2 linked regions of the Ovis aries genome follow. The protein of the gene in region 1 interacts with the protein of each later gene in a pairwise test. Links are inferred from orthologs where the notes say so. Each region holds a gene or a part of one and is shown on either strand. Other genes may lie near its edges.

The links. The genes of interacting proteins can lie anywhere in the genome.
Region 2: the proteins of EIF4ENIF1 (region 1) and EIF4E2 interact in binary tests that used the Homo sapiens proteins (3 or more experiments, as listed by UniProt). The two-hybrid records come from large-scale screens. The link is inferred for Ovis aries from reciprocal best matches to the Homo sapiens genes EIF4ENIF1 and EIF4E2.

What each region holds. Positions count from the first base shown.
Region 1 is NC_056070.1:70,102,791-70,106,440, reverse strand, and holds part of EIF4ENIF1 (eukaryotic translation initiation factor 4E transporter), read left to right. Parts: intron 1-2,644; coding exon 2,645-2,716; intron 2,717-3,166; coding exon 3,167-3,350; intron 3,351-3,650. UniProt on the Homo sapiens protein: EIF4E-binding protein that regulates translation and stability of mRNAs in processing bodies (P-bodies). Plays a key role in P-bodies to coordinate the storage of translationally inactive mRNAs in the cytoplasm and prevent their degradation.
Region 2 is NC_056055.1:234,174,333-234,177,982, forward strand, and holds part of EIF4E2 (eukaryotic translation initiation factor 4E type 2), read left to right. Parts: intron 1-1,464; coding exon 1,465-1,617; intron 1,618-1,718; coding exon 1,719-1,855; intron 1,856-3,579; coding exon of another isoform or gene 3,580-3,650. UniProt on the Homo sapiens protein: Recognizes and binds the 7-methylguanosine-containing mRNA cap during an early step in the initiation. Acts as a repressor of translation initiation.

The DNA.
Region 1 (3,650 bases):
CAGTCTGATAGATTCAGATATAACTTGCTTATCTTAACTCAGTGCTTAAAAAAAATGGTGTAAAAATGCCTTTGGGGAAGAACTCTGGAGAAAGTTTTCTGTTCATTCAGCTGTTTGTTGTTGTTCAGTCGCTAAGTTGTGTCTGACTCTTGCAACCCCGTGAACTGTAGTCCGCCAGCTCCTTTGTCCATGGAATCTCCCAGCAAGAATACTGGAGTAGGTTGCCATTCCTTCTCCAGGGGATCGTCCCTACCGAGGGATGGAACCTGCATCTCCTGCGATGGAGGATTCTTCACCATTGAGCCCCCAGGGAAGCCCTTATTCAGCTACTTAAGTTAAAATAATTTTACCATATTTTTATAGTAAAGTCTTTTCACTACTACTAATTACTCCCAGATACCTGGGATTATTTGCCTTCTTGATTAGGTATTTGACAGATATTCATGGCATTTGTAAAGTATCTAAGATGGATTTTTCAAGACAATTGCATTCTGTTTATTTACTAATAGAAAAAGCTGTGACTCCAAACTTATAAAACACCTTTAGGCATTAAGTTGGGTTACAAGGTGATTGTATGTCAGTAAATGCAGGTGTGTAGCCCATACCGGTCTTCCCCATAACACATTTAGAGGGTGCCTCTCAGGCATGGTGTGTGTTACTATTGCTAACCCTTGATGATTACAGAGTGAAAGGGAAACAGTAAATCGAATAATATTAATTTGAAAAAAAAACACAGACTTACTCTAGTTGCTAAGTTATCTCAAATTTACCAAATTGAGTTTTGCCTGTTTTTCTTGACACCTTCTTGTCTGGGAACTACTGGTTAACCATGGGGGAAGCATGTGTTTCATTGTGCCGTGTACCAAGGGAGAACAGCTGATTTTTGCTATTTTGAATCTGACTAGCTGTTAGTGATCAATCCTAACAGAGATACCATTGTTCCTGGCCTACCTACCTGCCTCTCTACCTCCAGAAGGAGACATCTCAGATAGGTAGAGTTATTCTTGTGTATCTGACCACACCATGCCAGTTACAGGGGAATGTTCCTTGTAAGCTGCTTTAAATAATTTCCATGCAAGGAACTATTAGGTGTAAATGCTTTCAAATGAGGACCAGATCGCTTGGCTGTAAACAGTCCTCTGCTGCTTATTGCCTTTGTGTCTTGGGGATTAGGTGCTGACTACAGCAGGGTGGGTCAAATCTTATAAATAGCTTCTTTTAGTGTTAGTTAAGAAATGGGAGTGGGGGTGGGGGTGGGTTCGACTGTTTACCCGATGAGGCTTTTGAACATTTTGTTTTAGATGTGATTCTAGGGTTTGATATTAACACAGTTGTCCCTGAGCTGTGAAGATAACTTGCTTGATGTTGGGGGTTCAGTGCTCTGAAATATATCTGGCTTCAGCTGAGGGAATGAGCCTCAAACAGGTGCATAAAGGAGTGGATGATATAATTTAAGGTGCTAGGCAAAGGGGAATACAAACCCAATCTAGGAAAAAAAAAAAAACAAGGAAATAATCTATGAAGTACACCAGGCGTTATCCCAAAATACTGCTTAATTTGCATGTTGGTGTTTGTCACAGGCTGCTTCCAGGCTCTCAGTGACTACAGCTGTGTGCGTTACGTATACTCTTTCTGATCTGCCTCCAGCCATTCTGGTTCAGTCATGTTGTTTATCCCCAAAAGAAGACATATTGGTTCAGTCTAAGCTGTATTTCAAATTAAGTTGTAGACTCTATCCTCCAAATATAGCAAGCCACCTAGTATAAAGTTGTGTCTTTGTTTTTGTTAGTTGGAATTAAATGACTCTTGAGGAGATCTTATTAAAATCATTTACAGTCCATTCCAATTCCAAAATCAACAATGAAACACTTGCATACTTGGGGGCTATTTGTCATGCCCGAGGACACTGCTGTGGACCTTCGCAGTTCCCGCTGGTGGAAGGGAAACTTGACAGAGAAAGCACTTCAGCCAGAGCTAAATGGACACACAAGGGTGTCCTGAAGCACCAGAGGTAATATAAGTTGGATGCAAAGTATAACTGCTACTGCATTAAAAGAATCGAAAGTGGAAGATTTTAATTTCATCCTGAATAGGAGACCCACTTTGGAATAGCTGCTTAAAAATAATAAAGTTTAAATTTCCTAAAATATGAAACTCTGAAATATAACGATTTTGGCCGAACTCGCATTTTTTTGGTACCATCTATGATCTGTAAATCTTGTTAAAGATAATAGCAAGCAAAGGTTGCTGTGAACATTAAAATCTGTAAATTATCAAAATTTCCTACCTGTGGCCTCTTACTAAACAAGTGTTCCCCCCGTTTCGCCATTTTCTTTTTCCCTTCTTTTGGACGCAATGTTAGAAACAGTGAAATGGACTTAGGGTTACCAGAGAGGAAAAAACCTTGTCTGAGGGTCTCTGAGTGGCCTTTGCATGTACGTGTGAGAAGCCTTCCTGTTCCGAGGTCACTGAGACCTGTGTGACAAGTGGGGCAAGTTGATCTAAGTTTTCTGTGATTTGGACATCATTCTGCTGTTAAGTGCCAACTCCCTGGGGAGTTGTCAGTGTTTTCTTGTGGTCCCCAATTAATCTATAAGCTAAGTATGTGAGAAGGTTAAAACCAGTTTTCCTTTGACTTTTTTAGCGAACCCTTGAAAGCCATTTGATGTCCCCTGCTGAGATTCCAGGCCAGCCTGTCCCTAAGAACATCTTGCAGGTACTTCACAATCTTATACCAAGGCCTTGGAGTCCTGAACAGTAGTCCTCCAAACTGGTTTTGTGTAGTGGGCCAGCTTTGGGCCGTAGAGACTGATCCGTGTTGCCTAGCAACGAAGGATACAGTTTTGCTGCCTGACATAGCTCTCTGTAGCTATAAATGTGGGGTGGGTTGGTGGCTAAAAAAGATGATCGCGTAAAGCCTTGGTTTCCCGTTTGCAGGTTTGCAATTTCTATGGAAATTTAAAGTATCTAACCCATATCTGTAGCACTAACTTGAAGCAAATGTTGGTAGCTGAGCGTTCAGAGGAAGTCGTTGCATGTACATGTGCCAAGTCCTTCAGTGAAGCAGGAGGGAGACTCATCACTGGCTTCCAAATTCATAATCCACAGCCTCTGAGTAGGAAGAAGAACTAGGTTTGCTCACAGGATTTGACTTTTCTGCCTTTAGGAACTTCTGGGCCCACCTGTTCAGAGACCTGCTTCTTCCAATCTCCTGAGTGGCCTTATGGGGAGCTTGGAGCCTACGACATCATTACTGGGCCAGAGAGCACCCTCTCCTCCGTTGTCACAGGTGTTTCAGACGAGAGCGGCCTCTGCAGACTACCTTCGTCCCAGAATACCGTCACCGATTGGTAAATGCTCTTGTGCAGAGGTGTCCATCTGTCATTTCCCTTCTCCTTCCCCTCGGTATACCCATCTCCTAAAACTGGCAAAGTCTCTTTCGTTGGTACCCTTGAAGAGTTTAAAAAGAAATGTGCTGATTTGTTATGCTTTTTTCAGGGAGTGGTAAGGACACAAGTGGAAGGTAATTATCCAGCTGCCCTTCTGGATAAATAGGTTTATGTTACAGTTTTGTATTTTTTCTCTGGAGAACTAAATTGGATCCAGCTCTTTAGTCATCTTCCTTATTTGGGAAATTCAACAGAAAAAAA
Region 2 (3,650 bases), on another chromosome or scaffold:
GGCTAAAGTCTTCTTTGAAAGCTGCGTAGCAGTTTGGTATATCTTTGGAAATGGGAACTCTAGGAAAAAGCCCCGATTCCATTGTTTGTGTGGATGGTTTTCAAAGATTGTTTTCTCACTAACATGGTGCTATAGCAACATTGAAGGATTTTTTTTTTTTTGGATTATTCTTCCCATAGACTGGTTTTGTGTGTGTGTAATATATTACCGTAGGATACATATGGTTAATGTGTGTAAAAATAAGCTTAGGGGCAGTCACCAGAGACCCAGAGCTGAGCTCTGTGATCTCTTTGCTGTAGTCCGTCTTCTCTGTTCTGATGCCAGAGCATTCTTCCAGAAGACAGACATGATCACACACACACGTGCGGTGCTGTGCTTAGTCATTAGTCACTCCATCCTGTCTGACTCTTTGCGACCCCATGGACTGTAGCCCACCGGGATCCTCTGTCCACAGGGATTCTCCAGGCAAGAATACTGGAGTGGGTAGCCATTCCTTCCTTCAGGGGATCTTCTTGACCCAGGGATCGAACCCAGGTCTCTTGCATTGCAGGCTGATTCTTTACCATCTAAGTCACCAGGGAACCCCCGCCCCTGCCACACACAAACACACCTTAATGAAAAATCTTATGCAGTTTTCTGTTGCACACATGATCTTACACCTAATGACCTTTCAGCACTTGTCACCTGTCCTCTCCAGATCCGCCCTTCAGTGTAGCTAGATCTTCCTCTTTGGGTCTCTGCCTCACAGTCAGTGTTTGCACATAGCCGTGTCCTTCCCAGTGCCCACAGAGCCCTTCACCTGGCTAGCTCCTGTGTCCCTTACAACCCAGCTGAAATGTTTTCCTTTTTCTGGTTGTTTCTGACTGTCTTGTTCTTCATAAACTTCCTGTATGTATCTCTGTTACAGGAGTACTTGTCAGACTATACTACTGTAATTAGTTTTCTTGTCTGTCTGCTTCACTAGACTGGATCTGAGTAGAGATTGTGACTTCATGTCTGTATTTGGGGACATGGTGACACTTGATAAACTTTTAGCAAATGAAGTAAGGAATGATCTGTGTTTGAAATCTGACATTATTTCGTTTTAATGTAGTTTTCAAAAAAGAGGGTTGGTTGGTTGGTTGGTTTTGGCCACACTGTGTGGCTTGCGGGATCTTCGTTCCCCGACCAGGGATTGAACCCAGACCCTGGCACTGAAAGTGCTGAGCCTTAACCACTAGACCGCCAGGGAGTTCCCAAAAGAGGATTAGTTTAAAGGGTCTGTTTGGCTGTTTTTCTTTAATGGCTGGTTGCAAGGATCCCCATCTTGTGTTTCTTTTTTCTTGTTTCTTCTGCCTGTAGTCCTATCACATTTTCCTATAGAGTTGAATAGTTGGAAAACAGCAAGACTTCTCAGTGATCGTGGATCCTTGGCCCTAATGCTACGAGACCATATGTTAACTTTTAATACATTTTTTTTTACAGGATGATGCAAATAAAAATGGCGGAAAGTGGATAATCCGACTGCGGAAGGGCTTGGCCTCCCGCTGCTGGGAGAATCTCATCTTGGCTATGCTGGGGGAGCAGTTCATGGTTGGGGAGGAGATCTGCGGGGCTGTGGTCTCTGTCCGCTTCCAGGTAAGCCGCCTCGCGGGCAGGGCTGCGTTCACGCGTGCTACCTCTGCTCTTCTCACTGCCTCACTTTCCTTTGATGAATGCTTCTGTCGTCCCTCCTGTAGGAGGACATTATTTCCATATGGAATAAGACTGCCAGCGATCAAGCCACCACGGCCCGCATACGGGATACGCTTCGGCGAGTGCTTAACCTACCTCCCAACACCATTATGGAATACAAAACCCACACCGACAGCATCAAGTATGTGTTGTGGGGGATTGAGGGGCGGGTGTGGGGTGTGTCCCTGAGTTCAGCAAAAGTAGGTCCTTAGTCGGGTCCAGAGGAATACGGTCTTCCAGGAGGCTGACTTAAAGAGAAGGGACAGACCAGTCTTCCCCCAGTGCTTCTGTCCACTCATAGCAGTTCTTGCTGGTGCGGTTCTCTGCCTGCCTGCACGCTGGGTGCTCTGGATGAGAGATCCCTTGTGCAGAGTCCTAGCTGAACCACCTGGGCTTGCTGTATTCACACAGGCTGTCTTGTCTTTCGTTCACTAACCACTGTCTTAAAATGAAAGACAAAGTAATCTTTTTCTTGCAGTTTCTAAAATAATTTCACTGAACAGTGAGGCCCTTCTCCCTGTCTGTCCCTCACTCCACTTTTGCATGTCTTTTTAACTTGTTAGCTTCAGTCTGCTCTCTTTGTCCTGGGAAACTGACTTCTTTACAGGAATGATGACTCCATTTCCTTGTGTGCAGAGCTGAAGTCGAAGTGGAAGCAGAACAGTGTGTGTGTGAGAGTAGACTCTAAGGGGAGCAGGATGCCAGAGGGGAAGTTAGCTCAGCAGTCTACCTGAGACTCAGGGGAGTGGAGCTGGACGTCCACAAGTGAGAATCACTGGCCAGGGTTGCTCCTTCAGTGACTGAAGATCATAAATAAACGCAGGGTGTCATAGACATGTTGTGAGGAGTGGCTATTAAGAGTTTTCTCACATGTGAAGGGAGAGCAAGCCAGCTAGGAGTCAGGACCTATAGGTGTAGTTCTGTCCTCTGACTCAGATACTAGTGCGTGCCTTTGAAGTACCTGCCACTCCGCTTCACCTATCCCATCGGAAAAGTGGGGGGTAAGAGTGCTTTACTGAGCAGGGTTGTTTGTGAGGCTTATTCAGTGTTTGTAATTAAAGGTCCTCAGATGGAGAATGCTCTCACAGGGTCAAGGATTATTGCTCTCATCATCATTAGTAATAACGTCATCACGCTATTATTAAACGCATTATAGTAATGAGCCCAATGATGGCGCTCAGCAGGCAGATCGTTTGGGAATCTTTTCCCATGCATTTACAGATCATGTTGTGGGTGGAACTGGCTCATACCAGCTAAGCTCCAGTTTTTAACTGGGAATGCTGCCATAGGAGGTGGTCTGTCTGAAATGGCTGGGTGTGGCTCATCACAGTCACCAGCAGTTATTAGCCATTACGACCCTGAGGACTTGCCTTGACAGCCCTGGGTCAGCACTGTTTTTCTCTTGGCAGATTTTTCTTATTCTTTGTTCTGAAATACAAGTAGTTTCTGCCCTCCAGCCAGACTCAGTCTAGGCTGGAGAGATCCACACCTGCTTTTCCTAGGACTCTTGTGTTTAGTATTCCCAAATGCCCCCCATTCCCCTACCCCACCCCAAAGCAACCTTTTCACCCGGATAGGAAAGGGAAAGAGATATTTTTCAACTCCCACCTCTCCACTGTTCTCCCTTTCAAATACCCCAAAGCAGCTCTTCCTGACTTCTGTAGCCATGTATACAGGTCCATAGAGTCTAGGCTAGCCTTGGGGCTTGGTGCCTTAGTCTGCTGCTTGCTGCTTTATCAGAGGTCTGCCTAGTCCTCCAGCCCTGCAGCCACAGGGGCCAGAAACCCCTCCTTGACACCTAGATGCCACTTTCCCCTCGCGGCTCCCTCTCTCTCCCAACATGCCAACCTTTTGCACTTCCACTAGAATGCCAGGCAGGCTGGGCTCCCAAAGGCTCCTTTTTCAAAACCTCTGGAAGCCGCGGTTGAATGTGCCAT